Linked DNA regions of Struthio camelus. The protein of the gene in region 1 purifies or fractionates together with the protein of each later gene. This does not show direct contact. Links are inferred from orthologs where the notes say so. Each region holds a gene or a part of one and is shown in the gene's direction. Other genes may lie near its edges. The genes, in order: MAPK14, DUSP16, IQGAP1 and OBSL1.

The links.
Region 2: the proteins of MAPK14 (region 1) and DUSP16 purify together in Homo sapiens (affinity purification with mass spectrometry; 7 studies listed by BioGRID and IntAct, counting the BioPlex papers as one, with this or other methods). This does not show direct contact. The link is inferred for Struthio camelus from reciprocal best matches to the Homo sapiens genes MAPK14 and DUSP16.
Region 3: the proteins of MAPK14 (region 1) and IQGAP1 purify together in Homo sapiens (affinity purification with mass spectrometry; 3 studies listed by BioGRID and IntAct, counting the BioPlex papers as one, with this or other methods). This does not show direct contact. The link is inferred for Struthio camelus from reciprocal best matches to the Homo sapiens genes MAPK14 and IQGAP1.
Region 4: the proteins of MAPK14 (region 1) and OBSL1 purify together in Homo sapiens (affinity purification with mass spectrometry; 6 studies listed by BioGRID and IntAct, counting the BioPlex papers as one, with this or other methods). This does not show direct contact. The link is inferred for Struthio camelus from reciprocal best matches to the Homo sapiens genes MAPK14 and OBSL1.

What each region holds. Positions count from the first base shown.
Region 1 is NC_090965.1:4,986,659-4,993,998, reverse strand, and holds the start of MAPK14 (mitogen-activated protein kinase 14), read left to right. Parts: upstream 1-4,340; 5' UTR 4,341-4,584; coding exon 4,585-4,700; intron 4,701-7,340. Other genes in the region: SLC26A8 (testis anion transporter 1), read right to left, coding at 1,121-1,290. UniProt on the Homo sapiens protein: Serine/threonine kinase which acts as an essential component of the MAP kinase signal transduction pathway.
Region 2 is NC_090942.1:81,362,746-81,370,422, reverse strand, and holds the start of DUSP16 (dual specificity protein phosphatase 16), read left to right. Parts: upstream 1-4,666; 5' UTR 4,667-5,396; intron 5,397-5,466; exon of another isoform or gene 5,467-5,591; intron 5,592-5,728; exon of another isoform or gene 5,729-5,845; intron 5,846-6,204; exon of another isoform or gene 6,205-6,332; intron 6,333-6,656; 5' UTR 6,657-6,726; intron 6,727-7,677. UniProt on the Homo sapiens protein: Dual specificity protein phosphatase involved in the inactivation of MAP kinases. Dephosphorylates MAPK10 bound to ARRB2.
Region 3 is NC_090953.1:208,586-215,978, reverse strand, and holds the start of IQGAP1 (ras GTPase-activating-like protein IQGAP1), read left to right. Parts: upstream 1-4,375; 5' UTR 4,376-4,485; coding exon 4,486-4,543; intron 4,544-6,041; coding exon 6,042-6,141; intron 6,142-7,393. UniProt on the Homo sapiens protein: Plays a crucial role in regulating the dynamics and assembly of the actin cytoskeleton.
Region 4 is NC_090947.1:27,737,584-27,744,609, forward strand, and holds the start of OBSL1 (obscurin-like protein 1), read left to right. Parts: upstream 1-4,017; coding exon 4,018-5,065; intron 5,066-6,517; coding exon 6,518-6,787; intron 6,788-6,982; coding exon 6,983-7,026. Other genes in the region: INHA (inhibin alpha chain), read right to left, coding at 675-1,041. UniProt on the Homo sapiens protein: Core component of the 3M complex, a complex required to regulate microtubule dynamics and genome integrity. It is unclear how the 3M complex regulates microtubules, it could act by controlling the level of a microtubule stabilizer.

The sequences.
Region 1 (7,340 bases):
ACAAGAGCTAGCTATACAGAAGGAGGGAGGTCTGACTCCCTGTCTTTCCCTGCGCGGTCCTGTCCCTTCTGGCTGCAGCAAGCTGTTGCAGCAAGCTCACCACATCTTGTGGAAGCTCACCCATGGCTAGCCTTGGTCTCAAGTCCTGCCACAGACCCAGAAAAACGCTTTATGTTTCAGTATACATTTTAGTTCTTGTGAACTGCTGAAAGAAAGCTCGGATAAATGACGAATCAGAGATTTTGTATTTGCTTTCTTATGAGGACTGTGCAGAGTAGACACAGCCATAACCATTGCCAGTCCACTCAGGATCCAAAGAAAGAAAACAGAGTATTCACAATTAAACAAAACTGAAAGGGAAACTGATGAAAGAGCTTCCTATTTTTGATTATATCTGCCTTGCTGGAAGAACATCAGGAATTCTCATATGCTGCCAAATGAGACTGCCTTCTGGCGTGCCTGCAGCCTGCAGGGCTCCTCTGGAAGAAGAGCTGCTTCTAACCCCAGTACAATGCCCAAAAGAGAATCTTGGCAGATAATGTCCCAGAATGGGAAAACCAGGCTGCTGAAGCATTAGTGCTATATCGGTGCGCTTGCCTCACCCCATTATTCTCAAAGAACACAGGAACACAGCTCCAAAATAAAGGAAAAGCACTTCAGTCAATCTCAGTCTTACCATTATGCAACTATCCATGTTCCCAACTAAGAAGGAACAGAAAATGGGTCTTGAAATGTAAGAAACAAAAGTAGCAAAAAACACAAACCAGAGAAAGCAGATGCAAGCTTGCGTATTGCAGCTGGGCAAAGGGAAGCGCTGGAGGGGACCGAAACTATTGGCAGTTTCTCTCTACAGTGCATCTATCCCTCGTGCTATCAGAGTCCTCAAGTGAACAGAAACTTTTGCAGACTGCAAATAGCCGCTTTCATAGTGCAGTGCTAAGCTGATCTCTCATGCTTCAGGTGTGAGTTGCCAGAACTGGGTGTTCTGCTTCAGTTATCAATCAACACACTTCAGCATTTTAATTGCCAGCAGTGGAAAGTTAGCGCCTTTTATTGCACTTGGGCTTGAAGAGTCTCCTTAGTTTCTTCGCATCTACCAAATTCCCTGCATATAACTCACCTGCATTGGAGCCGTCGGTGGACTCGAGGAATTTGTATTTCTCCACACAAGGTAGAGGAGAGGTTTCTTTCAAAGTAGGTCTGGAAGTGCTCCTCAGTTTGTATTTCTCTTTGGACCCTGTATACTGTTGGTTGTCTATCTGCCCTAACGATATCATCGTCTAGCTCCATATAGTCCTTCTGATCATGGACAGTCAAAACCGGAGGAACAGCAAATGCTGGAAGCCAAAATCAAAGAGCTTGTTCTTGGCACTAGGGCTAAAGGAAAGAAACAGGGTCATTGACTGAAGTCTCGCTTAAAAACCAAAACAATAAAAAGCATAATATGTGATCAGCCCATCCCAGCATAACTCCTGTGGAACCAATAGTCAACGCAGGGATAAGCAAGGCTTTGGAGACTGAAATCCATGAAGGACCTGCTGCTCTTAGGATCAGATAAATCAATCGCCAAATCACTCTCAGCAATACTGGGTCCTTCTGGAACCGGGCTTGTTCCAACTCTGTGGGAAGGACCAGCCTGGATCCCCTCCATTTTGTGATCCCAAAATCAGGCCTGTGTTTAGAAAACTGGATCCCGTCCCCCTCCGCAACCCAACTGCAGCTGGGGAACCAGTTCTAAATCTCCTCGTTTCTAGCCCTGGAGGAAAAAGATCTAGATTTGAATCATACAGGGAGCAGCTAAATCTGAGTTGCAGCATATAAACGCTGTGTAAAATCTATATTTGATACAGTTCAGGTTTTATAATCCTCAGAATGTCTGACTCCTATTCCTTAGTATTTTAATACCAGGAAGGAGATTTGAGTTCAATCTCTGTCACTCAGCGTAGGTAAGACGTGAGCTCCCTAAGGGAATACCGAGTAAGCAAAGGTCCACTGCAAGACAGGATCTGAGGCAAAGATCTTATACAGACAGCCGAGGCAAAAAAAAGATTCAAATCCAGAATTTCCAAGTGAAAGTACAGAGATTACACAAAAAGCAGGGTGATGACACATAGTAACATATAGGGAAAGAGGAAATATTAAAAGGCTGTGAGTTAGCAGTAGGACTCTATTCAGAATGTAGTCCAACTGTAGCAGAACTTGTAACAAAAAAAATGCATTGGGATTAAAGTTTCCTCTTCTTATTTCATTTCCTGAACTGCCAGGATCAGTGTACAGGCCTAGCGGTTTGCATCACTGAGCCATGCTACTTCTCATACAGCAACAGGGACTCTTGACACTGACTTTCCTGTCTTGTGAGACACAGCCACAGACGTGTACACACACCCCAGTCATTCTAAACCCCAGAAAGAGCTGGTGGTAGGAGAGTCTCAAACACACTCCATCATTAGGGCACAGTTCCTCCCTCTTCTTACAGAGAAGATAAATCTAGGTCTTCCACAGATAGATTTAAGAGCCATTTGTGTTCGTTTGATCTTCAGACCCAGTACAAGTTTTTAAAGCCTTACCTATTTTTGACATCTTTGAGCACAAGCACCTTTTCAAGATAAAATAACACAAGCAGCAAAACCAACAAGAGGCTAGAGTCTGCCGATGAAAGGCATTAAAAAGCCCAGCATGCCACAAAGTAAGTTACCTTTTAGACACAAGCAGTGGTCAAGTTCAGCTCTTGTTCACTCCTGTTATTTGGACTTCAACGGTGACTCATAGAGGCAGAGGACAGGGTCCCATTTTGTTAGGCTGTGTAGAGAACAAGAAGGTTTTTGACATGGGAAGCCGCCGTTTTAAAAGCAAGTTCCAGGCAGAACGTGCCTGTCTCGCACAGTATTGCGAACAAAACTCATCTTCCTCAAGCTTGAGATCCAACGGCAAAGGGCCTTATACTCAAATCCCTAACACTCTTTTATTTGCTGTGCAATTCTGTACTTACAACCTGGTGAAAACACGATGGGCTCCACTTCAAAACATGCTTAGCCTGCAGCACCTAGTGATTTCAATGTCTTAGGCGCACGCTTGAAAGTAGGCACGCACCCATCTTTGATAGCGTAAGGCAATATTACAGTACTCAGAAAATTCTCTATACGAATACAGAACTGGGAAATCTAGACAGAGATGGCTTTGTTCTCCCCATTACTGCTGGTGTAAAGCCCCTAGAAGGGGACAAAGTGCACTTGCGGGGACTACAAGGCAACCAAGACTGGCTTGCAGGACTCCAGAAGCACCAGACCTATGGGCAGCTCCAGAAAGGTCTCGATGGGCGCTTACTCCCCAGCGACCCTGCCATGTTAATCAGGGCCTGCAGAAATGCTGCGGGAAGTAAGTTTATTCATCGATTTTCCTTTTCTTTCTATTTCAAGCACGCCCTAAGGGCAACTGGGCAGCAAAGAGCGAAGGGGGGGTGTGCTCATGAAAACGCGAAGCAGGGGCAGCACTCGTGGAATTTTAGCTTTTTGGCAGCGGCCAAGGGTTATCCGGGGCCTCGGGCCCGGCCAGCCCGGTGCTGTGGGGGGCGGAGCCGGGGGGGCACCCAGGCCCCCCCCAGCACACCGCCCCCGCCCCGCCCCCTCGACGTCACCGGCGCCCTCCGCCAGGCCCCGCCCCCCTCCCGCTCTCGCGAGAAGACCCCCGCGCTGGTTCCATATTGGGTCATCTCTGCCCTGGGCGCCCCCAGCTCTCGCGAGAGCGGCCGTGCCGAGCGATTGGGCCCCAGCGTGCCGGGGAGGGGGGCGGCGGTCGCCTCAGCGCAGCCGGGGCTGTGCTGCGCTGCGCGGGGCGGAGCGGGCGGCCAGGCAGGGGGTGGGGGCAGTCGCCGTGGTGTCGCCGTCACCGTCCTACCTGCGACGGGCGTGTCCTTCTCCCCCCCCCCCCACACACCGCCACCACCGCCCCGTCTGTTGGCCCTGCGCCCCGCTGGCTGCCGGCGGGACGAGCCCCGCCGCGGCCCGCCTCACCTCACGGGGCTATCCCGCCGCTGGCGGCGCGGGGCGGGCGGCGAGGCAGCCGGGCGGCAGAGCAGGGCGAGGCGAGGACGGGGCGAGGGCACCAGGTGGGCGCGCGGCGGCTCCCAACGCCCGGGCGCGAGCGCCCCTCCCCTCCCTCCGCCGCCGCCGCCGCCGCCTTCCCCGCCCGTCAGCTCGGCGCGCGCGCCCGCTCCTTCCCCCTCAGCGCGGTGGTTGGGGGGGGGGGGGTCGGTGAACCGCCCGCGCGAGGCCTCTCGCCCCCCCCCCCCCCCCGTCGGGCGGGAGGGGGCAGCAGCGGCGCGAGGCGAGGGGGCGCGCGCGGGCGGGCGGGGCGGCGGCGGCCAACGGTCGGCGGCGTGAGGGGACGGCGGCGGCGGAGGAGAGGGCGTTGCTGCTGCACGGCTGCCTCCGCCCGCTGGAGAAGCGAGGCGGGGAGAGGGAAGAAGGAAGGAAGAAGCCGCTGCTGCTGCTGGAGGTGGCGGCGGCGGTGGTAGTGCTGCTGCTGCAACCGCGGGCAGAGCCTCCCCCTCCCGCCGGGCCGGGCGGGGCGGGCTCCGGAGCCGAGATGTCTCAGGAGCGGCCCAAGTTTTACCGACAGGAGCTGAACAAGACGGTCTGGGAGGTGCCCGAGCGCTACCAGAACCTCTCCCCGGTCGGCTCCGGGGCCTACGGTTCCGTCTGGTGAGTCCCGGGAGGGGGCAGAGCGTGGGTGTGCAGAGGGGGACGCGTCAGGCCGGTGCTTGGGCCCCTGCCCCGTCGTGCTGCGGCGCCGCGTGAGGGCGAGGAGGGCTGCCGTGCCGCCGCGGGGCTCTGCCGTGCCGGCTCCCCGCTGGCAGACCTGCCCCGGCTCGTAGGGACCCGCGGCAATAACGCGTGCAGGGCGCTCGTCGGCGAAAGCAAGCCCAGCGGAGGGGGTTTGCTTGGGGGTCCTTCTCCCCCGGCTCGGCTCAGCCTCCGCCAAGAAACACTCTTCTCCGTGGTTTCATAGCGATACTGCTGGGGAGGCACTGTCTTGTCTTTGGAATGCGTCGGATTGCACCACATGGCAGGTGGCACTAAAACATTTTTGCAGGGGGAGATAATCATGTCCCAGCACCCCCCACCCCAGCATGATCTCATATAGACATTTTTCACCGTGCCTTCTTCCAGTTACTAGGTAGGGGGTGGAAAAGGATGGAGGCTGGTAAGTCCCTGATAGCTGGCTTTGCAGAGCTGAGGGCCTGGCAGCTCTTGTTCCATTTTTTTTTTTTTTTTTTTTGCTGGACTGGAAGGATAGATCATCTATAAGGCAATTGCATTTTTAACTGAGATCTGCTGGTCGGCAGAGATGATGGCAGGAGGGCTATAAGGGCTATTTTTGCATCCCCGACTTGTAACAGCAGGTTTATGATTATCAGTGTTATTTTCCTGGTGATGGTAGATCAATGCGGGAAAACTTGTTCTCTTGCTGTAAAATGACAGAATTACTGCAATATGCGCTGCCTGGAAGAGCAAAGTCCTAGTATCAGGCTTGCAGAAACGTGGAGAATTTGGAAGTGAAGAGAGTTTAGTTTTTAATGCTTACCTACTACAAACAAAATGTATGACAGGTTACACATGCTAAATACAACAACGCTCCCTTCATTTGTAGTTCCTCTACTAAAGGATGTTGGCCCATTAAACCTAAGTTAATTGGGCTGCATTCATCACTTAAAGAAAATAAACTTGAATCAGTTTGACACCTAGACTTTAGCAATTGTATAATGGAGTCATATAAAAGTATTCATAAATTACTGTGTCCTTTTATTAAGAAATTTCTCTAATATGAATATTCTACTTTCTACTCTCTGTTCTTTTGCTCCATCAAACTATGATCAGAATTTTCTAATGCGGGCGCGTAATGCTTTGCTGCTGTATTTGAGCAGACATGCATATTTTTTCTTTAACATAATGTACAAATTGATATCAATATCATTTATGTATCATATTATGAATACCATAAAGAGGCATGCATACTGAACTGTACTAATAAAGAGTTGTTTTGCATGTGCTGCGGTTTTAAAGAAATAGAATTCTGTGCTGTTTTTAATATAGTAAGTTTAAGATAACAATGGTTTATAAAATTGCCAGTAAGTTCTGTTTAAATAACGCGTATTCTTAAAATTGTTATTCCCCAAGGGTTTAAACACATTTCATAAAAGGCAAAGGTTAAACCATTCTAGTAGCAAGATTAACTGAACGTACTCACTGAGTTTTTTATAGTAGAAAGATTTAGTTCTGTTGAAGAAGGGCCTGACTGCCCTAGTTGATAGATACCCCTTTAACTGCTCAGAGTTTCATTACTCACGGAAAAATAATAGGAAGTTAATTTGCTGAATGCCTTGTCCATTGTATTTTTAAGGTTTACCCAACACAATCTAACCCCTTCCTTTTGTCTTTTCCCCCTCCCCACAATCTCCATTGTGCTTGTAATACTTCCAATGTTTGTTTTCACAACCAATAACTGAAGAGTTTGCATCATGAATTTCCTGTTTTGTTGTGTCAAAACTTTCAAAGATTGTGCAACTGCATGCAGGCCAGATGAAACAATTTTTCATTGGAAGCAATTTCAGACATGTGGCACATTGAGTCTTAATACTGTCCATGTTGATGTTTTTCTCCTAAAAATACATATTTCAGAAAAGATGCGGTTTGGAAAGGCTAGTAATATAGAAAGTATGTCCGGATTAAAATAAAAATGGCATATATAATTTTCTTTTATCTGTAATATTGTTAAACTGCAAATGGTGATGCATGATATTTATGATATTCCTAAGACGCCTTGTTGCATTCTCTGTCCTTTTAGAGATTTTTCTCTTTCTTCCTCTTCCCCCTCCTTTTCCAGGAAAAAGTTATCTAGTTTCATTTGAGACTTTTTGTTGGGAGCACATGTATGCTGGGATAGTAAATTGCAGCGTTTTAGCCACCCCTAAACTGGATGGTTAAACATACGTCCCGGGATGTCTACTGCGTTATTGTGTTAGAATATAATAGGATGTTCTGTTGTTTATTTACCTACCAAGGTGAAAGAGTTAAAAGTGAGAAATTTCTGGAGAGTAGGGGGAAAAAGTTAATAAATAAATAATAGAGCCAGGAAATAAATCATTTAGACTACGGCGCTGTCTGCTGTAAGCTACTTTAAATGTTTAGTTTAAGTATGGCTTAGAGCACCTGTAGATAAGAACCTGACTTTATTTTGAAGTCAGTGGAGAGCGAGAGAGAGGGGCGTTTTCTTCAGGCAACTTAAGGCACCCAAGTCACATGCTTAAAGTCAGAGCAAATATTCCAATATTTTCTGAAGTG
Region 2 (7,677 bases), on another chromosome or scaffold:
ATTTTACTAAATGGGACTTCTTGGGTAAGTAAAAACTGTTACCCTTTCTTTTGCAAGATGAAAGATGAGAGGAAAACGGGTGAGCTAGTGGTTAGATCTGGAATTTAGGAGAACTTGATTCAGCTCTCTCCTCCACTGCCTTGCTGTACTACCTTGAATAAATTACTTTAGCTCAGCAACTCAGTCTTTTATCCATACTTCTCTGCCCCACAGAAGGCTTATGAAGGTAGAAGGTGTTCAAACATCGTGATCATGTAAGTTCTTACTGACTAATGGATAAGGGATTTCTGATACAGGGAAGCAGAGAGTTGACGCTGATAACTCTCCTTCCTTCTTCCCTATATTCCCTACTGCTCCTGTTTCTATATTTCTCCCTACAATTGCTGACTTCTCTTCTACTGCTCTAAATCCTCTGATACTTCCTCCATCATCCCACAGAGCAAAAATATTGCCCTGCTTGGTCCTACTTTTCCTCGCAGTTCAAAAACACACATCTGCATTTTTCCTAGACCTCCACTTGCACACCAGCTCCAGCTTCTTTGATATGCTATGAATCTGGCAGTCCCAGAGAAGCTTCAGGAGAGCAGTAGAAGCATGAAAACTACTTGCAGCGACACAATAGTCATATCTGAGTATTTTCCAGAGAGCTTCCCGAGATCCAATGCCTGCACTGAAAGGAAGAATGGGGAGATACGAGTTGTTCTCAAACCCTCTCTTCCCCCCAGCATTGCTACTATCCACCCTACATCTCTGATGCCTGTATTGTTCACCCTACTGAAATCCTTTCTCTCTAGGCTGAGCTCTGGGATCTCTCAGCTACCCTTATCTGCTAACTTTTTTCTCTCTTCTGCTCTTTCCCCACCCTCAGTCCTACATCTTCTATTTCTACCTGTTTCAATTATCCTAATGGAAGAGGGGAGGGAAGGTTCCCATTGCTGCTCCCCCACAAACCTGCACTGCTCCAAGTAACAAAGCTAGTAGTATCTCAGAATGCCACAAACACTTCATGTTAGGTATCTCAGCAACCCTTCCAATTTTAAATACCCTAAAGAGCTGTCTATAGCAGCTGTGCCTGGTATAGCAGTCTGCTCTGAAAGTCGATTAGGCTAAACTACCTCTGAAACTGTCTGTGAAATGGTCATCGCTTCACTTCCCATTTGCTGATTTGGGTTTCCCCTAATCGGTTTCAGCCAAAAAGAAGCCAGTTTAGCAGATATCTACTATTTAAACTGCTTAAGCTATTCCAGTTGGCTTTGACTGAAACAAGTTTGGGAGCAATTGCATGAGTAGCTCGTAGGTAGGTAGGAAAGGCAGTAACCTTTGGCAGAAGACAGCTGTGACAGTGACTGGGGAGCTGGCTGGAAATGGTAACCCCTTCAGCAACCCAACTTTAGCCTGTGGAGAAAGTGAGTACCAATGCAGGGATTTTAAAGCATGGTAAACTCTGTGTTTTAAGCTCGGTTCCCGCTTATTTCACAATAGGTTCCTTTGGAAAACCTGCTGTGCATAAAACTTGATGACGTCGTTCAAACTGTCTTTCATCTTTCCCCTATTTAATCACTGCTAACTGATTAACCTAGTGAAGCGCCACAAAATCCTTTAGGTGGAAAAGGAGCAAAAAGGCAGGCATGCTAGCTTTTACAAATAAATAAGCAGAAACCTTTGCAAACAAGCCGTATAACCTGTAGTTCTCAAAAGTACCTATTGCTCTCTCCAGCAACGGGGGTAGGCAGTAGTAACACACAGTCACTCCTTCCGTCAGAAGCAGAACGTGAACTTGTAGGACACAAGGGCGTGTCAAAGTTCAGACACTGTTGTATAGCCTGTTAGCCACCATAATGTCTTTTGCCCTTCTTTTACCCCACGTAGGCACTTCAGGACTTCTAATCTCGTGAGCTTGATAAGTAGGCACAAGACAGTAACTCCTTCAATACTGCTTTGCCACAAAGGGGCAGTGAGTGCTATGTGCTAAAGCCAAAAAAAAGTCCATTGCCAGAAATTTAGCAAAACATATTTCACATAGTCAGATCTTTAAACAGCTGGCGAGGGAAGCTTAGCAGTCAGGGACACAGGCAAGGCCAGGCTGTTTTTCTCCTAGATGATTCAGGTGCTTCTTGGGTTAAAGTGTTTACAAAACTATGGCCTGACTCCATCTCTGGTTTGGGAGTGCAGCGCAAACCATTCTCAGGAGCCTGCTGTGCAAGTGGTACAGGAGAAAGGAAGGCTTTCACGAAAAAAAATTAGGCTGAAGTTAGACTCTGACATGCAAACAAATTACTGCTCCTTCACGAATGACCACCTGCCAGTTGAAGCATGTTAACTGCCAACATGTGCACTCTTAGCCCTTTGCAAAGAGAAGGTAAAGCACATTGCCTTTAACCTTAATGAAGGTCAGATGCTCTTTGGTTTGAGCCCTTAAAACGACTTCTGTTTGTGTCTTTGGGTTAGCCTTCCTGTTGTAAACAGTATACTCTTTCTGGCACAGTTACAACATACCGTACCCCTCAAAATCCATCTTTCATCTCAAACTCAACTAAAAATAAAAAGTTATTCCCAGTAATAACTTCAGTCTGCAGGAGTTACTGTGACACAAACGTGTTTGAGTTGCGCCCTTTATAACATGAGGAAAAAAATCCTGACTCGATATTGGAGAAACTTTAATTTGCTCTCCTAGTTGGTTTTTTTTTGTGTGTGTGTGTGTGTGTGTATCCTTTTTCAGTTAAAAATTAAAAACATTCCAAAAGGCCAGAAGTACTTATTATTCTTACACTTTTACAATGAGGAAACTCTTTTAGTCTCTCAATTAGGGAAAAAAAAAAAAAGAGCGCTTGCATAACATGTTAACAGGTCCTGCTGATAAAAGGAAAGAGAGAATTCAAGTATCTTTCCTCTTCAACACGTATCCCTTTCTGCTGTGCCCCACTTCCGTTTGGGAGGACAATATGCTGGAACTATTTGTTCTTGCACTTTTCTGGTCTAAATAAGCTGTAGCACTGGCTCTCTCCTTGAGTTTCTTTGGCACACTCTCTGTACCCCTTCATAGAAATGGGTCAGTGCTGACTTCCAGTATCGTGGGTATTTGGGGGTCGCAGTACATATTTTTAGGGCCACTGGTAATGAAGGCAAAAAGGCAAAACTGCTCTTTAGCTACTACAAGAAACACACATGCAAAATAGTAAATGTACTTTTGTAAATTACTTTGCCACAGTTTCTTCACTGCTTTTGGTCACTCTGTGGTCCAAGTGTTGTAAGGAGTTCAGACTTCTCTCTACTATGCTACCATATATTATGCACGCTCCCTTGCAGAGGAAGCTACTGTTCCGTTACAAGTGCTAGCAAAGCTTCTTCATGAGAGACAGCTCTCAGCGTTTAAAAATCAGGTCCTTTGTCAAGGTGGTTTTCAGTCAATTTTGTCAGGACAGGGACAACCTCCATATGATTTGTTTTGTAGTTGCCTGCTTCCCAAAATGTGCAGCACACAAACTGCAGGTAACAGTCATGTGTCTTTCCAAAGGCGCTTCATCTGAAGGGACAGCAGTGAAAGTCTAACACTCTTTCTCCTGCCTGCCATCTTCTATGGGTTTGTCACGTGGGGATTCAAAAGACAGAGGATAGGACTAAATGGAGCTCTTGAATTCTGGCATTTAAGACTTCCTGCATATCAAACAGAACCTGGAAACACTACTTAGTGATGGCACCTGTGATTATCTGTGATGGTATCAGGGGTGTCTTTGAGAGAGAGAGAGGAACAAAAGAAAAAAAAGCTTTGTAGACTAGTCTGGAAGTACTTAGAGGGTTGTGGAAGAGCAGATATGTCCCATCAAATCCTTGAAGTATGTATGTGTAGCTTTTTTGTTGAAGTCTGTACTAGCCAGAATGAATATGTATTAGACAAAACACTTGTGTTTATGTGTATCTAACTATTCAGATAATTTTCATTTTCTTCAAGTTGCTTTTTAAACTACCGTTATTATTTAACAAGGTCTTTAAAGGGTGAAAGCCCTCAACTTTCAGTGCAGCCAAAGGAGCGCTCCGCGCGCATCAGCTCATGCCTCAGCCCAAGGATTCAAAGCCTTAAGGGTTTGACTACCGCACGTATCTCCGTCTTCCTTTTGGAAGGGTGACAACAGTTTCTACGAAGCCACCGGGAGCGCCTACTGCCCAGCCACAAGCCGGCTGAGCAGCGTCACCCCTTTTCCGTGCCACCCGGCGTACGCACAGGCACACACCCGCGCGCTCGGAGGGGGAAGCGCGGGGCGGGTGGCGGAGGCCTGGCCCCAGCGCATCGAGGGATGGGGGGCACGGGCGCCGGCGAAGGGGGCGAAACCCTCCTTCCCTTCTGGCGCAGGCCCTCGTTTTGGGGACAGAAGGGCCCTCTCCTTCGCCCCACTGGGCATCAGGGTGGGCGAGGGGGCTCGCGCGGTGAGGCAGGAGGTGTCAAGGAGAAGCCAGGCGGCGAGGTGTTGACGTCAGAGAGGCGAGGGAGGGAGGAGGAGGAGGGCAAGCGCGGCCCGTCAGGAGGGCGAGGGCGAGCTCGACCCGCCGCGACGCGACGCGAGGAGGCGCGAAGGCGGGTGGGGGAAGGGCCGCCATCACCGCCGCCGCCGCCGCGGCTCCTCGGGTGGCTCCTCCCCGGGGCCGGCCCAGCAACCGAGCACTCAAACGGGACTGCGGGGGCGAGCAGCGCCTGTCCCCGGCCCCGGGACAGCGTGGTAGCCCGAGCCCCCGCTGCCGCCTCCCCAGCCGGCGGGGCCGGGGCCGCGCTTGTCTCCTCGCTCGGATCCTCTCTCCCCCCCCTCCCTCCTCTTTCTCCTTCTCTCTCTCTCTCCACCTCCCCCCCCCCCCCCCCGGCTGAGTTCATTCACTGGGATTGGTTTCAAATGACGCCATCGCTTTATTTTTACACCAATGACCTCATCCCAGCAGCTTGAAGTTTACTGACCAGCAAAACTCTTCTCTTCCCCCCCCCCCGCCTCCTCCTTGTGTCTGTTTGCTCTAACCATTTATTAGTGATTGTTTGGTTCCTTTAGGGAACCTAAGGCTTTTTAGGAGGGGAACAAAAAATAAACCCAACAACTTTCTCTTCCTTTCCCTGGCTTTTCGGTCCTTCTTCCCCCCCCCGCTGGATCACTGTCCCTTTTTAAATTTCTCAAGCCATCGCGGAGGGGAGGGGGGAAGGAGAGAGAGAGAAAAAAAAAAGCCTCCAAATGTTTCCTTTTTCTGCTTCTCTCCCCTCCTACCTTCAAGCTTCCCCCTCTTAAAAAGACCAGAATAGATGGTTTTTTAGTTTGTTTTTTTTTTAAATTATTATTATTACTATTCAAGAAGAAGGAAAAAGAAGAGCTTTCCCAGCGGCTGGAAGGAGACAAAGTTGGTTCTGGCAGCAGCGAAGAGAGGCTGGTGGCAACTTTTATTCCTACCAAAGGGGACAAACTAGAGACGGGGCGGGGGGAGGTGAAAACAGTCAGTGTCGGGCAGGGAGAAGCAGGGGAGAAGCTGGCGCCGGGGACACCCCCCCCCCCCATTTGCCCCGGGGGGGGGGGGGAGTAAGCGAGCCGGGGACCTGCCCCGCTGCCGTCACCCGCTGTGTGGTATCGCCTCGGGGGCCGGGACCGGGGTTTTGGGGAGGTGGGGGGCAGCGGCCTCCCCGTGTCCCCGGCGGGGGGGCCCAGGCGGCCGGGGGGCAGGCGGGGGGGCCGGGCCGGGCCGGGCTGGGCGGGGAGCGGAGGGGAGGCGAGGCGAGGACGAGCCGCCGGCCCGCGCCTCACATGTCGTCGCGCCTGGCCCCGGCCCTGCCGGCTCCGGCTGCCGCTGCCTCCCTCCTCCTTCCCCCCCCCTCCATAGGGTAAGGAGAAGGGGGGAGCCGCCGGGAGGTTGGGGGGGGGGGAGGCCCCCGCGCCCTGGCCTCTTCTTCCCCTCCTTCCTCCCCAAATTTACCTTTAGGAAAGTACCTGTCCACCTGCCCCTTGTCTTAAAGGCGGGGGGAGAAAGCAGGGCTGCCTTCGCGCGGGCACAGGGGAGTCCGCCCGGTGCTGAAAAGAGATGCCTGACAGACCCCTTCTTTAATTTTTGCGCTGGAAGCGAGCCGCGGAAGGATGTTTTGGGGGGGGGGGAGGAGGAGGAGGAGGAGGAGGGGGGCGGCGGCGGCGGCGGCGGCGGCGGCGGCGGCGGATTTGCAGCGCGACGCGCGCTGGTTGGTGCCTCAGAAGGGAGCGAGCGGCGCTGGCCGGCGGGCAGGGAGCGCGCGTCGGCTGCCGAGGCGGTGGGGTGCGCGGCGGGCCCGCAGGGCATGGCCTGGCCCCGGCCCCTCCAGGTCCTGCCGTGAACTTGGGGTGAGGGGGGGTGGTGGGGGGTGGTGGTGGTGGTGGTGGAAGCGCTTAAATCGAGTCGGTTGACAAAATGGAGGGCTGGTGCGGAATCGGAGAGCAGAGCACCTCGCGAAGACGTTAACCTGGTGCTGTAATCTGGAAAACCAGTAGTTCTGGGGCTTTCGCTAGCACGGCCTGCCAGATGATTACCTTCCGATCTGTGTGTGTGTGTGTAAAAGCCCTGGGGCGAGGAAAATGCTGCTACCCATCAGTGTGTCCTGAACAAGGTGCACGGGATGTGCCTCTTGCAAAGCCTGACCAATAGTAGGATTTTTTTTTTTTTTTCAGCCTCCCGAAAGCGTTTTGTTGCACGTCGGAGGGGACCGTAGGAGGCTGGCTTGTAGCAGACAAAATCAAGGCAAATTCACTTTCTTCTCTTTCTTCAGTTGGCTAAAGCAGAAATTGAGCTCTCACTTTTCCTTCAAGTGAAGGGTGTAGTCATAGTAAGCTTTATTGTCTGACCTATGACTAACTTTTTTTTGTTCAAACATTATGTGTATACCCAATAAATACATCTGTGCACGTTTTGAAAGCTAAAAGCAGTTTTAACTGTTTCACTTTGTAAGGATAATTTTGGGGGGCCTTTCAGTAATTTAAAAAAAAAAAATCCCAAACCCCCAAATCATCTTGTGTTCCTTGTTTTATGATTTATGCTATTCCTGGCAGCATGTGGTTTGGTAGAGACAGAACTTACAAAGTCTCGACTGACCAGACAGAAGTTGATTTAGACTCTAGTGTTTTGAGGGGAGGTGGAAAAATATTAAGTCTTAGTTTCTTTTTATGGTGTTCATCTCGCTGCCCGTTTGAAATTGAAGCATTAATCACAGTTGTTTATGTTGGTTGGGTTTTTTGTTTGAATCTGGAGGAAATATGCAACAGGGAGGTTGTAGATGTATTTTTAGCTTTAATCAGTGAAGATACAAAGATATTCTAAAGCAAGTCCTGCATTTACTAAATACGCTTATTAATAGCGTTAGGAATGAATCTATAAAATGTATGAGGTGTAGTAAACCCAGGTTATTATGCTTGTTTAAAGCACTAGTGCTTCAGTATATGTTAATACTCAATTTTAATGTCTCTTTTAAAATGAACGAATAAGTAAAAGAAGCACAGAAGGTGCCAGTTCTTGTGCTAATTTAGAGGTGATAGCTGCAAAAATGCTCTATGGTTTAATTCATGGGCAAAGGTCCAGAAAGCCAAACAAGCATTTTAAAACCCAACATGTTATGTAAAGATATATAAATAGGTCCTACTCCAGTAGGTCTGGTTTTGTTAGCTACCTAAGTAGATTTAATGGAACAAAATCAGT
Region 3 (7,393 bases), on another chromosome or scaffold:
GCTTTCCAATTCAGGAAGTCTTTTCCAGTACAAAGCTTGCTGATGTTGCGCTGCTACAGGAAGAAAGGGGAGTGTTTTATGGTGGGAGCTCAGAGTGCCGAATGGCTCGCTTGCCTCCGGAGAGTGAGGGCTCCTCTGCCAGCCCAGCAGCCTCTGGCTGCATCCCAGCTCCGTGCCACGACTGTGGGCAGTACTTGGGCTCTGGGCTTTTCTGTCATGTTGCTTCCAGGCTTCCCTGTGGAGTACTGCAGACAGTGTGCATGCGTGTGCATGAGTGTGCATGCAGGGCTGCGTCCCAGGTGGCTGCTGGGCCGTGTGAAGTGAGGTCAGGATGCAAAAGCAAGTCTGGAAACAAATAGGATGGAGGAGACCCCATATCGTGAGCCAGACTCACCTGTCTTGCCTGGCTGGTCTGGCACTGCAGAAGCAAGTGGTATGGGGCTGGCCATGTCTTCCTCCCCCAAGTGGGCAGCCACTTCCTCTGCAGCTTTCCCAGAGCCTCTTGCAAAGTTCCCTGCCACAAGGATGGGAGGGCCAGGGCTGAGGGAGTGCAGTTTTGAAACAGCACTGCGTTTTTAGACCAGGGCAACAACTTGTCTCATTTGGCCACTACGTTTCTGATCTGGTGCAGCCACAGCCTGACATATGACCATATACAAAACAGTATCATCAGATATGTGAGGGGTAGGAGTCATAGAAATATTTTCAACTGACGCAATTGTGCCTGGATTCCTGCAGGCCAGTCTGGGCCCATTAACACGGAACATGTAGCTAAACTGGGTAATTAGAGAAGACAGCAAAAATGATTAGGGATCTAAACATTGTTACAGACCTAAATAAACCTATCCCGGACAAATGAGATCTAAAGGGAAAGGTCTCAATTGTCTATGAATACTTGAAGCGCAAAGAACAGTATTAAGGAATGACTGTTACGGATGAGACGAGTCAGGAGAATGAAGGATGTTGTGTAGAGCAGCAAAAGACATCTGTTCTCTCAGCTTTCTGAGGGGTTTGTGTGTCATAGCATAAGTCATGGCTTGGAATTCTTAGTGCTAAATGAGACCTAGAGCAGATCCTACTCCATCTTCAGCTTTTACTTTGGCAGAAATGAGGACATACATGAGAAATTCTTCAGTGGAACATTGTTTGAATATGCTATTATCTCCCAATCTTTTTTGGACTAAGAGACCATGTGGTTTTTTGGAAAGGCAGGCAGGATCGTTGTATATACTATAATGTTTGGAGGGGGATACAAGAGATGAGAGATTCCCTGTTTCAGTGGCAGCCTGCAGCTAGGTTATTTTGAAGCGACTGCAGAATGGCAGCTTCAGAGTCTTCAGGTAATCTGTGTTTTTTTCCCCCCAGCACCATTCACAGAAATAATCTTTCTCGATAAAGAAAGTGGCTAGTAAATACTTGCAAAGGAACAGATAACAGTAGTTTAAATAAAGGACTGAGTTTTGCAGCTCTCGTTTCCTCAGGGAAGCCTGGTGATTAGGCAGTCAAGGCCAAATAAAGAATAATTAAATTTTGTACAGAATTGATAACTAAAACGGTGAAACTAGAGAAAAATAGGTACCTCTGTAGTGCTTTGTGAAAGGCTATCTAGCTAGCGGCTATTCAACATTAAAAAAAAAAAAAGAAGACAAGAAACAGGAGAGGCAATAAATTAAACACAAAGATACACAAACCCTAACAAACAGCAGTTAGTAGAGACAGTAACAAAGACCAGAAATCTTAGAGACAATGATCGGTGGGGCCATTACAGGAGCGATTCAAGTATAACCTTGAAGAGGTTCAGCCAGAAACTTTGAAACTGCAAATGTGTGATAATCTTGTTTTATTCTTGTCAGAATGGGTCTTATAGACAAGACCAAGTTTATGATTTTTTTTTTCACTAGGATTATGGAGATGTGCAAAAATTATTCTGGGATTTTAGGGGAACAAAACCAGTTCTGCACTCCACAGTCTATATAGAAACATTGTTTAAAATGTCTTCTCGTTGTATAACTGCAGAGTGGCCACATATGAAGTAATATAAATAAATATTAATATTAGAATTATAACTGTTACCAAACATTTTGACTAAGAGCTGAGGGGTGTCATGGTCTTACAAAATTGTTGCCATCACTTATTATTATTACTATCATCATTATAGCCCATTACTTACATTCATTAGTGTCTCTTTCAACAATACTTAATGGGAAAATTTGTTCTTCCTCAGGATCACTGCCTGCATGTTTCTTCATAAAAAAAAACCCACCAACAACAAAAACTCCCAGCCTCACTGAATCAAATCACAGGCCTCTTTAGTCCAGGGTCCTGTGTCTGATATTGATCTGTTGAGAATACGGACAGATAGAGAGCACAAATAAGGCATGCGTGGAAAGAGGTCCCTTCTTACTCCGCCATCCAGTGACGTATGATCTTCCCAAGCTTTCATCTAGACCAGTTTGTTTAGTAGCCTTTGATGAACCTCTGTGCATTTGTCTAACTCCTTTTCTTCTGGTCTTCAAAATAATGTCATACTGATTTCTATAGTGTTATACTTTGTAAAAAGGCATTTCCTTTAGTTTGGATTAAAAGTGCTTTATGGTTAAATTTGGGATTAACGTGTGTTTTGTCAGAAGGAATGAAAACATGTTGCCTAGTCTCCTTCTCATGTTCTGTGCATCTCTTTCAAGCCCCTTTTCTCTCCTCACAGGTCTCTCTCAGTGTCCTAGCTAGTTATCCTCTTCTGACAGGAAAGCCCTTCTGTAGTTCTGATCCTCATTGTTGCCTTTCTCTGTACCTATTTTTGTTCGCCTATATTATTTTTTAAGGGGGGATGACCAAAAGTGAGGTATATTTCAAATTGGGCACATCTCTATTCAAGATAAGTGTCTCAGTCAGGATTCAGGATGCACTGGCTAAATGAAGTTTCCTGCTTTGTACTACTGCATTTCTTTCCTAATACTATGGAGTAAGGCTTGCAGAGAGAATGACTGTCTTTTAGGAGACCAACTGATATAAGTGGTCAGGCAAGTCATTTCACCTCATGAATATCCTTAAACTATCTTAGCTGCAAGATACTACTATTCATAATTTCCAAAATTCTCTTTGCCTTTGGACCATTGCTCAGCACTGAGCTGAAGTTTTCAGCTCCAGGATCTCCCACCTGAGCTGTAATGGGTAAATTAGAACCTGTCGTTGTATATGCGTGTTAGTATTGTTTTTCCGATGTTCACTGTGTTGCGTTAACATTGATTTGTATCTGTTGTTTTAAGGACAAATTAATATTGTGAGATACCACATATTCTCCATCTCTGTGAGCTGTTGGTCAGTCACGTACTTCAGCAGGTCCACCAGCGCCAACAGACCGAATCTGGCTTGGCTGGAGAGGGAACGCTTCCTCCCGCTGCTTTACCTCCTCGCACTGCAAACCCGCCCTCGGCGGCGAGAGGAACTTGCAAACGGTTCCTTGCCGTTCAGTCTTCCCTCTCCCCCACAGTCCTATTCCCAGCCGCCCCCCTCCCTCCCTTCCTTTACTGAGCCATATAGTCCATTTTGAAGCTGATTAGGAATGATCTTTCATGAAGAAGTCCTCCCACGAGTCTCCAAAATCCAACTACCATTAACAGTTCCATTTATATCAGTATACGGGAGCACACTTTTTCTAACACAGAGCACAAACTTTCTAACATCAGACCTGTCTCCTTTTTTGCTGTTTTTCTACAGCGCCCAGCCCTGCGAAGCTCCAGTGCTGATGCCTGTGGGCAGCGCCGGGGGGGGGGGAGCGGGGCTGGGGGGCCGGGGGGTGGCGCCCCGCGCGTGGGCAGCGCCGGGGGGAGCAAGGCTGGGGGGGGGCGGCGCCCCGCGCGTGGGCAGCGCCGGGGGGGAGCAAGGCTGGGGGGGGGGCGGCGCCCCGCGCGTGGGCAGCGCCGGGGGGGAGCAAGGCTGGGGGGGGGCGGCGCCCCGCGCGTGGGCAGCGCCGGGGGGGAGCAAGGCTGGGGGGGGGCGGCGCCCCGCGCGTGGGCAGCGCCGGGGGGGGAGCAAGGCTGGGGGGGGCGGCGCCCCGCGCGTGGGCAGCGCCGGGGGGGAGCAAGGCTGGGGGGGGCGGCGCCCCGCGCGTGGGCAGCGCCGGGGGGGAGCGGGGCGGGCGGCGGCGCCCCGCGCGTGGGCAGCGGGACGGGGGGAGGGCGGCGCGCCGCGTCCGCCGGGCTGAGGGCAGCGGGACGGGGCCGAGCCGGGCGCCGGGTCCGGTCGGCCGCGGCGGGGACGCTGCCCGGGCGGCGCCCCAGACCGCGGCGCGGCGCGGCGCGGGGGGGTCGTGGCAGGGCAGCGCCTCGCTGCGGCCGCGGCGGAGGCGGCCGGGGCGCGGCCGGGGCGGGGGGAGCGGGGGGCGAGCGCGGAGCGGCGGCGGCGGCTCCTCCTCCGCCACACCCGGAGCGGCAGGAAGAGGAACCGCCGCGCCCGCAGCAGCTCCGGGCGGCCCAGCGCAGCGCCATGGCGGCGGCGGCGGAGGAGGTGGACGGGCTGGCCGTGTCCCGGCCCCACTACGGCTGTGAGTACCGAGAGGCGGCCGGGCTCGGCCGAGCCGGGCGGCCGCCGAGGAGCATCCTGCCTGGCGACGCCCCGCTCGTCCCCGCGCGGGGGCCGGGACGCCGCGGGCCCGGAGGGAGCGGCGGGGCCTCGTCCGCGGGCGACGCTGGGGCGCGGCGGGCGGCGCTGACCCCGGCTGCGGCGCCCCCGCCTGGCGGGGGGCGGCCGGGCCTCGCCCAAGATGTCCGCCGCGGTGGGCGCGGCGCGGCGGCCGGCCGGGGCCCTGCCCTGCCCTGCCCTGCCCTGCCCTGCCCTGCTCTTCCCGGCCTCACCGCCGGTTGCGGCGAAGGCACCCGGGCGCGTTGGAATTACGCTTTGGGGACGGAGGCTTTAGTTTAAGCCCCCGTTGGAGTTTTGTGCTACGCGTCAGAGTTTGTGCTGCGCTATCACGTCAAAAGTCAGTGAGGGCGGAGAAGTTGCAGCGCTGCGGTGAGGGGCGGCGGCGGCAGGGCCCGCCGGAAGCGCTGGCCGCCCCGCGCTGCTCGAGAAGGCAGCGCTGAGGCGGGGGCCGGGAGGGGAGAGGAATTCTCCCTGCTGGTAGCTGTTATCGTGGGATTTGTGACAGCTTTCAGCCCTTGTAACTTTGGGAGAGGCTGAAGCAGTAAGAGGCTTTTGGCATGCCCTGGACCGGTTCTCTAGGAGACCCGTGGCAGTCTGAAGCAAAATTTTGTTTGAGACCCAATACTGCAGTTGATACCTTGTCGTTACACTTATTTGATGAAGGCATTTTAGGTGTGAGCTAACCTTTGATTAACAGTAGTAAGAGACGTTTCCTATTCGTCAAACTACTCCTTGAAACCGAAGAACGTGCATTTTTTCCCCATAAGAGCATGGATGAGGTGTTTAGTTGTAAGAGTGGAAAGGACAGGCTGTATCACTGCGGCTTTGAACACAGTCTGAAAGATTTAGGCATACACCCCTCAATAGGTCCTCAGATCAATCCAAACATGATGCACAGGTTGTGGATCTGAACGCTTCCTCTCCAGGTGAGGATTATGAGTAGCATTGCCCTCTCTTTTAGAGATTGAGTATAACTATATAAAAGGGATTTTATGGTGTGATGATATATCGCTGTCCTCCTTTAATCTTTGATTACCAAAATCAGAAGGTAGGTGGAGAGACATGGTCACTGATGCACTTTTTAGGAAGAGAAAGGTAAAGCTAGAAGGAAATAAGAAGAGAAAGGGCTGTTTATAGGAAATTGGAAGATGCAAAAAATTGGATCAGAAGCAAATGGAGAAATCCAAAAGAAGGAAAATGACATTTATTTGGCAAGGGAGGAAGGGTAAGGAAATGGGATAGCTTCAGCTTTACTTTCTGTTCTGTTGTTTATTTGGTTCTTCGTTTTCTGAATCAAATAAAAGTGAGCTCCTGTGGGAAAGGTTGGATCTGGTTTTTGGTTTGTCTGTTCATTTGCATTCAATCCTCAAGAACCTGAGAATCTGTTTGACTGTTCGCAGCTGTCCTGGATAATGAGAGGTTAACAGCGGAGGAGATGGATGAAAGACGGCGCCAGAACGTGGCTTATGAATATCTTTGCCATCTGGAGGAAGCCAAGAGGTAAGAATAAGTGGGCTTGAAACTGCTGGTGTATTAAAAAGAGTTGTGATACTTGTTAAGTGGAATAATTTCATAGCAATTATTCTTGACTGTGTTTCTGAGCAGCTATATAGATTCATTTAAAAAAAAAAAAAAAAAGCCTACGAGGGCCTTTAGCGGCTACCTCTAGTCTATTTTTCTGCCTGACAGGGGCAAATGCAACTTTGTCTAGCTCGTTCCTGATGTGCTTATATAATATGTTCTTAAGGACTTCTGTGACAGGGACTCCATAGCTACGCCTTCAGCAATTGTTCCAGTGCTTCCGTATTCTTAACACTGGAAGGATCCTCCCTGCTATCCCACCTGTGTATGTCTTGCTGCGGTATTACGCCATTACTTATCAACAGAAACGGAGAACAGGTTATTCTCTTCACTGCAGCCTTTTACAAATCTGAATTGTTACAAAGTATTTCCTTGCTCTTTTCTCTTAGACTAAAAAAACCCAATTCTTTCATATGAGTTTCCCTGTGGGTCCTATTTAATAGATGAGGTCATTACTCCTGGATTGTCTTGACATCTCTCCACTTAATCCATGTCTTTCTGGAAGTGCACTGCCAAAACAGGAAGAAGTTTTCCAACTGGGGCATTAACATGCTGATGAGAGCATAAGGATTATTTCGTGTATCCTGCTAGGTATGCTGTTGTTCATGCGTTCCAGCATGGTATCTCGGTTTTCATAATGGCATGATGTGGTAGAGTTTTGCTGACTTGCCATCCTTTTCCTTGAAGGCATGCTGATGAAGTCTGTTCCCCATCCTATGTTTGTGCAGCCAATTACATTTTCCTAAGTGTTATTACCTTTTAATTGACCCTGTTGAATATTATTCTGTTTTTTCATGACCTTTTTGTTTAATGTGTTGAAATAATTTTGAATGTATTCCTGTCTTCCAGCATACATGTAGCCCCCTCCTTCTTCTGCGTTATCTCCACGTTTATAAAGTGTGAAAGCATGCTGTATTTCTTCATTCAGACAATTAATGAAAATACACTGTGAACATGAGGTGTGTGGGGGTAGATACCTGTATCTGCTATGTCAAGAGAAGGGAACTATTAAAAATGAATGTGTAAATTCTTATTGTTGCTAGTTTTAAATCTTTTGCAAACAAGTGATCTTACATGCTATAAGTGAAGAATAGGAGTGAAACAGATTAGTTTGTCTAATGTTTTCCTCCATGACAGTCATCTCTTCTCATGACTTAGCACAAATTGAGCT
Region 4 (7,026 bases), on another chromosome or scaffold:
CTGAAGGCTGGCAGAGGCTTGCTGGAGGCTCCCATGGGGTGTGGGGCGGAGAGGGGGTCCCAGTGTGCCCAGCGTGGGTTGCTGTCCCAGTGGGGAGGCCGTTCTGCCCCCCGCTCCCGGCCAAGCGGCAAGATCTGCCCGGGGGACAGCCAGGGCTGTGCAGCAAGCAGCTCCCTGGGGCCGGGGCAGGCTGAGCCCTGGCGGGAGGCCAGCTGTGCCCCTCTGCACCCTAGGCTGATCCGTTAGTGCTGCTCAGTCCCCTAGCATCCTGCCCCCATCCCTTTCCATCCTGCCCCTGTCCCTTAGTGTCCTGCCCTGTCCCCTAGCATCCTGCCCTGTCCTCTCCTCATCCCTCTCCGTCTCTCTGCATCCCAGCTGGCTCAGGCAGTCCCCAGCCTGTCTAGCTGTCAGCACCCTGGCCTGCCTCTTGTGCCCCTCACCTGCCCTCTGCCCCTCTCCCTGCCGGGTCCTGGGCTGACCTGCCTACCCCTGCCTGCCTTCCCCTTCCGCCTCATGGCTCTCCGTCACATTTCAGCCACCCCTACGTCCCAGCCTGGCTTACCTGCTTCCTCTGTCCCACACCAGCATCATAGTCCTGCTGCATGCTTGATGCCCTGACCCACCAGCCCAGCTTAGCTCTTCTGCCCTCTCCATCCTCACAGGGGCTTTCTCACCTGTGGATGGGAAGAGGATCACCTGGGAGGTGTCCTCCAGCTCCTCGTGTGGGACTTCTGGGGTCTCCAGGACGTCTCTCCGATGCATCTTCCTCCCCTCCTGCCGGGGCCCCTCCTGGGGTGCAGGGGGGCTCAGATGCTCCAGCACCCGTGCCCGGACCTTGGCCAGGATGAGCTGCCGGTCGGCGCCAGCGCCGGTGCAGGCGGCCAGGGCGGCGGGGGGCAGCATGGCTGGCAGCAGGTGCAAGAGGAGCAGCATGGCCGCGGGGCGTGCGGTGGGCCGGCTGCTCGGGGGGCTCTGCCGTGGGTGCCTGCCTGCAAGCCCAGCCCGTCTGCCCACTGCGCGCCGCCTGGGGCACGGTGGCATTGAGACGTATCTGACACTGACGCAAACGTCTGCTCGCCGTGAATATTATCTCTGGGCAGCGAAAGCGCTGAGACGTCTGGAATGCAAGGACTGCAAGGACAGTGTGGTCTGGGGGGGGGGGAAGGCGCCCAGGGAGGGGGGCGCGGGGGTGATGCTGCCGGGGCAGTGGGTGCACGGGGCTGGGGGAGGCCAGGCTGCAGGCAGCGTGCTGCCGTGAAGGCTTTGCTGTGCCAGTGTGGATGGAGGGGCACCCTGGGGCGAGCGTGGCAGCTGCCGGTGTGGGGTGTCCCCATGCTGGAGCAGGGTGAGGGAGCTGCGGGCTCAGGGCTTCTGGGGGCACAGGGGGAGGTGATGGTGGCTGTGCTGGGTGATGAAACCTGGGCAGACACCTAATGTGGTCCAGAACCTTGTGAGGCCCAGATGTGGGGAGGGACTTTAGGGGTGGCAGGCTGGGCATGCTTGTGCTGGAGATGTCTTGGTCACCTCGAGGTCGTTGGGGAGCAGGGACATGAGGAGGGAGCCCGAGGAAGGACAGATTGGGGAAGGGGGAACTGCGGCATCTCCAGGGCAGCCTGTGGTGGGCAGGAGGCGGCTGACAAGGTCCCGTGATACGAAGCAGGAGGGATGGGAAAAGGACCCCGTGCAGCCTGGGACAGGCAGTGGCCAGGGAAAGGCTGGGCCAGCCTGCGATGGAGTTGGAGGAGGAAGAAGTGAGGCAGAGCTGAGCCAGCTGGAGACCCTACAGTAGCACCAGGTGAAAGAGGCCACAGTGCCCTTTGGGTTGCCTGGCTGCAGACTTGCTCCTGGGAGCTGGAGCTGCCTGATGGCAGCTGGCTGTGAGGGGACCCCCTCCCCCCCCCAGTGCATCCTGCCCTTCTTCCTGCGGCTGCCTGCAGGGACAGTGACAGGAGTCTGGTGTCCAGGAGTCTTGTCTCCAGGAATCCTGCGTGTCTGCATGGTGGGATGCAGCTTTTGTGCCAGCCCACTCCTGCAGCAGCCCAGTGTCCCATGCAGTGCATCCTGTGTGGCACATCCCATCCCGCTGCAGCCTGGCATCCCATGCAGTGTGTCTCATATGGTGTGTCCCATCTCGCTGCAGCCTGGCATCCCATGCAGTGCATCCCCTGTGGCATATCCCCTCCCATGTGGTGTGTCCCATGCAGCATGTCCCGGGTGGCATGTCCCATCTTTGTTCAGCCTGGGTCCCACACAATGTGTTTTCTCCTGCGGCAGGCTGACCCCACACCGTGGCACCATTGAGCCTGCCGAACGCTGGAGCCCTGGAGGTCAAGGACTGTCTCCCCACTCCAGGCAGGGCCGCTCTCCTGCTGGGGCGCTATACATAGGCCAGCCCTTCCCAGCCAAGGCACTGAATGGAGCAGGCTCAGTCTTATCAGCCCAATGTGTCATCAGAGGGTATTTTTGGGGACAGCAGCTGCAGGCATTTGTAACGTTTGGTCCCTGCATGCTGACGTCCAGGAGCAGAGCTGGGGGAGGCAGCAGGAGCTGGGTGCCGGTGCTGGGAGACACAGGGAAGAGGCGAAGGAGTGAGGTACGTGTGTGGGGCAGGGGACTGTGGTGTGGGGGCTGCGTGGGGCAGGGGGATCGGGGGGACACGGGGGCAGCTGGAGGGGAGTAGCAGAGTGGCCAAGCCGTCGGGGCTGTGCCTGTCTGTGGGAGCTGCTGTTGGGGCAGCCCGTGGGACTAGAGGAGCATCTGGCCGGGAATGCCTCACTGAATGAATGCATTGCCTGCAGGTAGAGGTTTGGGAGGAGAATCTGGCCCTGGTCCCTCCTTCTTGGGGACCCCGGCCCCGTCCCACCCTCCCCTGCCCTTTCGCTCAGGCAGTATCTTGGCTTCTCTCTCCCCATGTCCTGCCCTGCCTGAGCAGTGCAGAGACACCTCTGCCCCCAGCCCCGGTGACGGTGTGGGCAGAGGCCAGGCAGAGAGACCACGCTGCCGCTCTCCAGCCTGTGATGATGGATATTGTCACCTGCGGGGCTGGGGGTCGAGTCGGTGTCTTGGCTGCCTGGCAGCAGGATCGGTCCCTACAGCGTTCCCTCTGCACCCCTGGGGCTTGAGCGCCTGGTTATTTCATTTAGAGTTACGGCTTTTGATACCTAATGGCTGGGGTGGGGGATCCTGCCTTTGCAGCCACGCTCTGGAGCAGGGACCTCCTCTCCGTGGGGAGCCCCTCTTTGCCCCAGGCAGGGAGCTCTGCTGGGAGCCCTGCTTCCCTGTCCTGCTGAGCCGGGGAGAAAGCACCCGGATCCGGCCGGATTCCCCCCCGCCCCCCGCCATGACAGCCCCTTATCAGCACCTGCGCCTGAGCCAGCCCAGATGCTGCAGGAATGTGGCTCTGCCACCACCCGATACCGCAGGAATGCCCCCGCGGGTGGGGACGGCCGGGGCTGGGGCCCTTCCTGCCTCGGCCCCAGCCCCTGCCCCATCTCCCGTCCCCGGCACCCCGCGTGGAGCTGCCTTCGCTCCCGTGCCCCATCCAGCCAGGGGCCCTGTGCTCCTGGAGCTGGGGGTCCTGTCTGTACGCATATACAGCCGGGGCTGTAGGCACCTTGGGGCACGAAGCACTGTCTTCTGCCACCTTTCCCACGGCTGTTGGGCAGAAAAATGGCTGGTTTGGGCTGAGGCTGGAGCATATTCAGGGAAGCGCCAAGTCAGGCAAACAGCATGTTCGTGGGGCGCTGGCATCCTGGCTCAGGCCCCCGCCGCCCCCGGGAGGGCTTGGGGCAGCCCGTGTCCCTGCAGCCCAGTGGGGCAGGGGGCTCGGAGCGAGGGGAGGAGATGCAGTGCTCCTGCTGTGCTCGCGGGGCGCAGGGGGTGCCTCCCGGAGGTGCCCCGCACCAGGGCCGTAGCTGGAGCCTCACCCCAGCCCCGGTCTGTCCGTGCATCGCTCCAGGTTGATGATCCCCGTTGCTGTCCCGCTGAGCTGCCCGCTGTGAGGCCGGGGAGGCCGGGATGGACGGGTTTGCAGGAGCACCCAGGTTCCTGGCCTACCCGCGCACTTTCACGGTGCAAAACGGCGCTGACGCCGTCCTGAAGTGCCAGATCGCGGGCGACCCCCGCCCCAGCATCCTCTGGGAGAAGGACAGGACCCCGATCGAACCGTCAGGCCGCTTCCATGTGGAGGCCAAGGGCAATGTCTACAGCCTGCTGGTCTCCCGAGTGACCCCGGAGGACAGCGGGCTCTACGTCTGCAAGGCCAAGAACAACGTTGGCGAGACCTATGCTGCTGCCACACTCAAAGTGGAGGCCGGGGAGCCCCAGGAGGAGGGAGACCATGAAAACAAGCCACCCGTCTTCCTGGTCCGGCCTTCGTCGATGCGGGTGTGCCGGGGGGAGGACGTGATGTTCACCTGCAGGGTGTCAGGGCAGCCCTGCCCGGTGCTGCACTGGGAGAAGGATGGGCACGAGCTCTCCGACCTCTTTGAGAGCAGTCATTTCTCGGTGGGGAAGGAGCCTGAAGACTGGCACTTCCTGAAGCTGTTCAGCGCTCGGCCCCCGGACGGGGGGGTCTACGTGTGCCGGGCGCGGAGCGGCTCCCGGGAAGCCCTGGCTGCGGCCGTGCTCCTGGTCGAGCCCCTGGCGCCGGGGCTGCCAGACGAGCGATCCCGCGGGTCCCCCGGGAACGGCCTGGAGCAGCCGGGAGAGCGGCAGCAGCACCGCCGCCGGCACGCCGCCGTCCAGAGCACCGTGCCCGAGGGCTGGGCGCTGCCCAACGGTGAGGTGCCTGCCGGCGTGCCGGGCGCCAAGGCGTTCGCCGTGAGCGCGGGGAAGCACGCCAAGTTTCGCTGCTACGTGACCGGCAAGCCCAAGCCGGAGATCGTCTGGAAGAAGGACGGGAAGCCCGTCACCCCGGGGCGCAGGCACCTCGTCTACGAGGACAGGGAGGGCTACTTCATCCTCAAGGTGCTGTACTGCAAGCCCCAGGACCAGGGGCTGTACATCTGCACCGCCTCCAACACGGCCGGCCAGACCCTCAGCGCTGTGCAGCTCCAGGTGAAGGGTAGGTACCGGCCCACGGGCCGCCGGGGCTGCGGGGGGCTGCGGGTGTGCTTTTGGGGCTGTTTGCCTAGCAGGGGCGCATCTGCGCGTGCACGTGCATGTCAGGGCACGCGGGCTGAGCAAGCGCTGCTGGGCTCCCCTCCCAGGGGCTCGGGCAGGCCTGGGGGCGCGCGGGGGCCGGGGCGCCTCTGGGGTCTGTCGAGACGGGGCCAGCGGCAGGCGTGGGCTGCTGGGCTGCCCCAGGGGCTGGTAGCTCCCGTGTTTGTCCCCCCGCCATGCCCCTCTCCTTGTAAGCAGAGGGGTGATGTTTCTAGGGGGCTGCGCGTGTCAGGCCGCGAGCAGGGAGGGGGCGCGACATGCTGGTGACAAATTCCCCTGCAAGCGCAGAGCAGCTTTGGCTGGGAGCCTTGCAGGGCACGGCACCAAGCGTCTGCGCTGGCGACAGCCCCGTCCCTCTGGCAAAGCCTGCACGGAGCCCCGCTGCCAGCTGGGGATGCCAGGACGGCCCCTCGCCGAGGGCGATGCAGCACCTGGCGCTGCCCCGCTGCCAGCCCGCCGGCGGCCGTGCACCCACCCCACGCGCAGCGCCGCCTGCCCGGACGCCTGCTGCGGCGTGCTGCCCTGCACGCTTCTGCATCCCCGGGAGCTCGCCGCTGAGGTGCTGGCGGCATCGCCTGGCTTTGCTGACCTGCGCCGTGTTTCCCCTCGCTCTGGGAAATCGCTCCCCGGGGCAGCGGCCGTCACAGGCAGCGGGGGCTTTTGCAGCGCCATTTGGCATTGCAGCACCATGAAGGGCCCCTCCTGGGAGGGGGTCTGGCTCCAACCCTGCTGCACGCCTCCCGCCCAGCTGCCGCGGCCCAAAATAGCGGCCAGGGGCAGCGCGCTGCCCTCTCCCACCCCGTGGGGCTGTGCGGACCAGCGCCGGGGGTGTTCGCCGGGGACACGTGTGGGGAGCAGGGCAGGGTGCTGCCCACACCTGCCCGGCTTGTGCCGAGGGCAGGGAAAATCCAGCCTGAGCCCTCGCCCGACCGGAGGACACGGACGGAGGCCGGGGGAGGATGCCCCAGCGTCCTGGAGGGACGGGCTGGCGGTGGCGGTGTCTGCTGTGGTGTCCAGGAACAGCCGGGGAAGCCGGGGACGATGCTGTCCCCGGGGCTGAGCTGAGCTGGCAGCCGGGCAGGCGCAGGCGTCCCAGCTGGGACGTTTGTCAAGGCGGAGAGCGGGGGCTTGGCCACTGCTGGCAAGCAGCGCTGTGGACTGGCCCCCAGTGACCAGGAGAGGCTGCGGGGCAGGGGGGCCCAGGGTTTGGTGTTATTTTCAAGCTGGCAGAGCCTTGCGCAAAGGGCCAAAGGACGGCGAGAGCTGGCATAGGGCACGGGGAGGGGGCCGAGTGGTGGCGGTGGGGGTGCTGGCCCCGTGCGCTCCTCAGCACCCGTCTCTCTCTTGGCTCCAGAGCACCGCGTGCGCTTCCAGGTGCAGCTGGCGGACGTGGAGGTGCAGGAGCGGGAGGACGCCGTGCTGGAGTGCCATGTGCCGCTGGAGACCATTCCCACCGCCTGGTACCTGGAGGACAAGGAGCTCCAGCCCAGCCCCAAGTACGTCATGGAGGAGCACGGCGTGCTGCGGCGCTTGACCATCCGCGACGCCCGCACCGACGACGACGGCATCTACCTCTGCCAGATGAAGGACAAGGGGCGCAGCGTTGCTGAGGTCTCCGTCCGAGGTGGGGGGCAGGCCCAGCTCCCCTAGCTCTACCTTCCCCCCTCCAGGCCAGGCAGCTCCCTGCTGCCCCCTGCATCTGCCCTCCCACTGTTTTGCCCGCACACCTCCACGTGCCTGCTGTTACCCCTCCTAGACTTCTTCTACCCCTCTCCTGCCCCTTGCTCCCTCCCCACCCCTCACCTGGCCCTTTTCTCAGGGGTGATCGTGAAGAGGTTGCCGCGGAAGCTGGACGTCATGGAG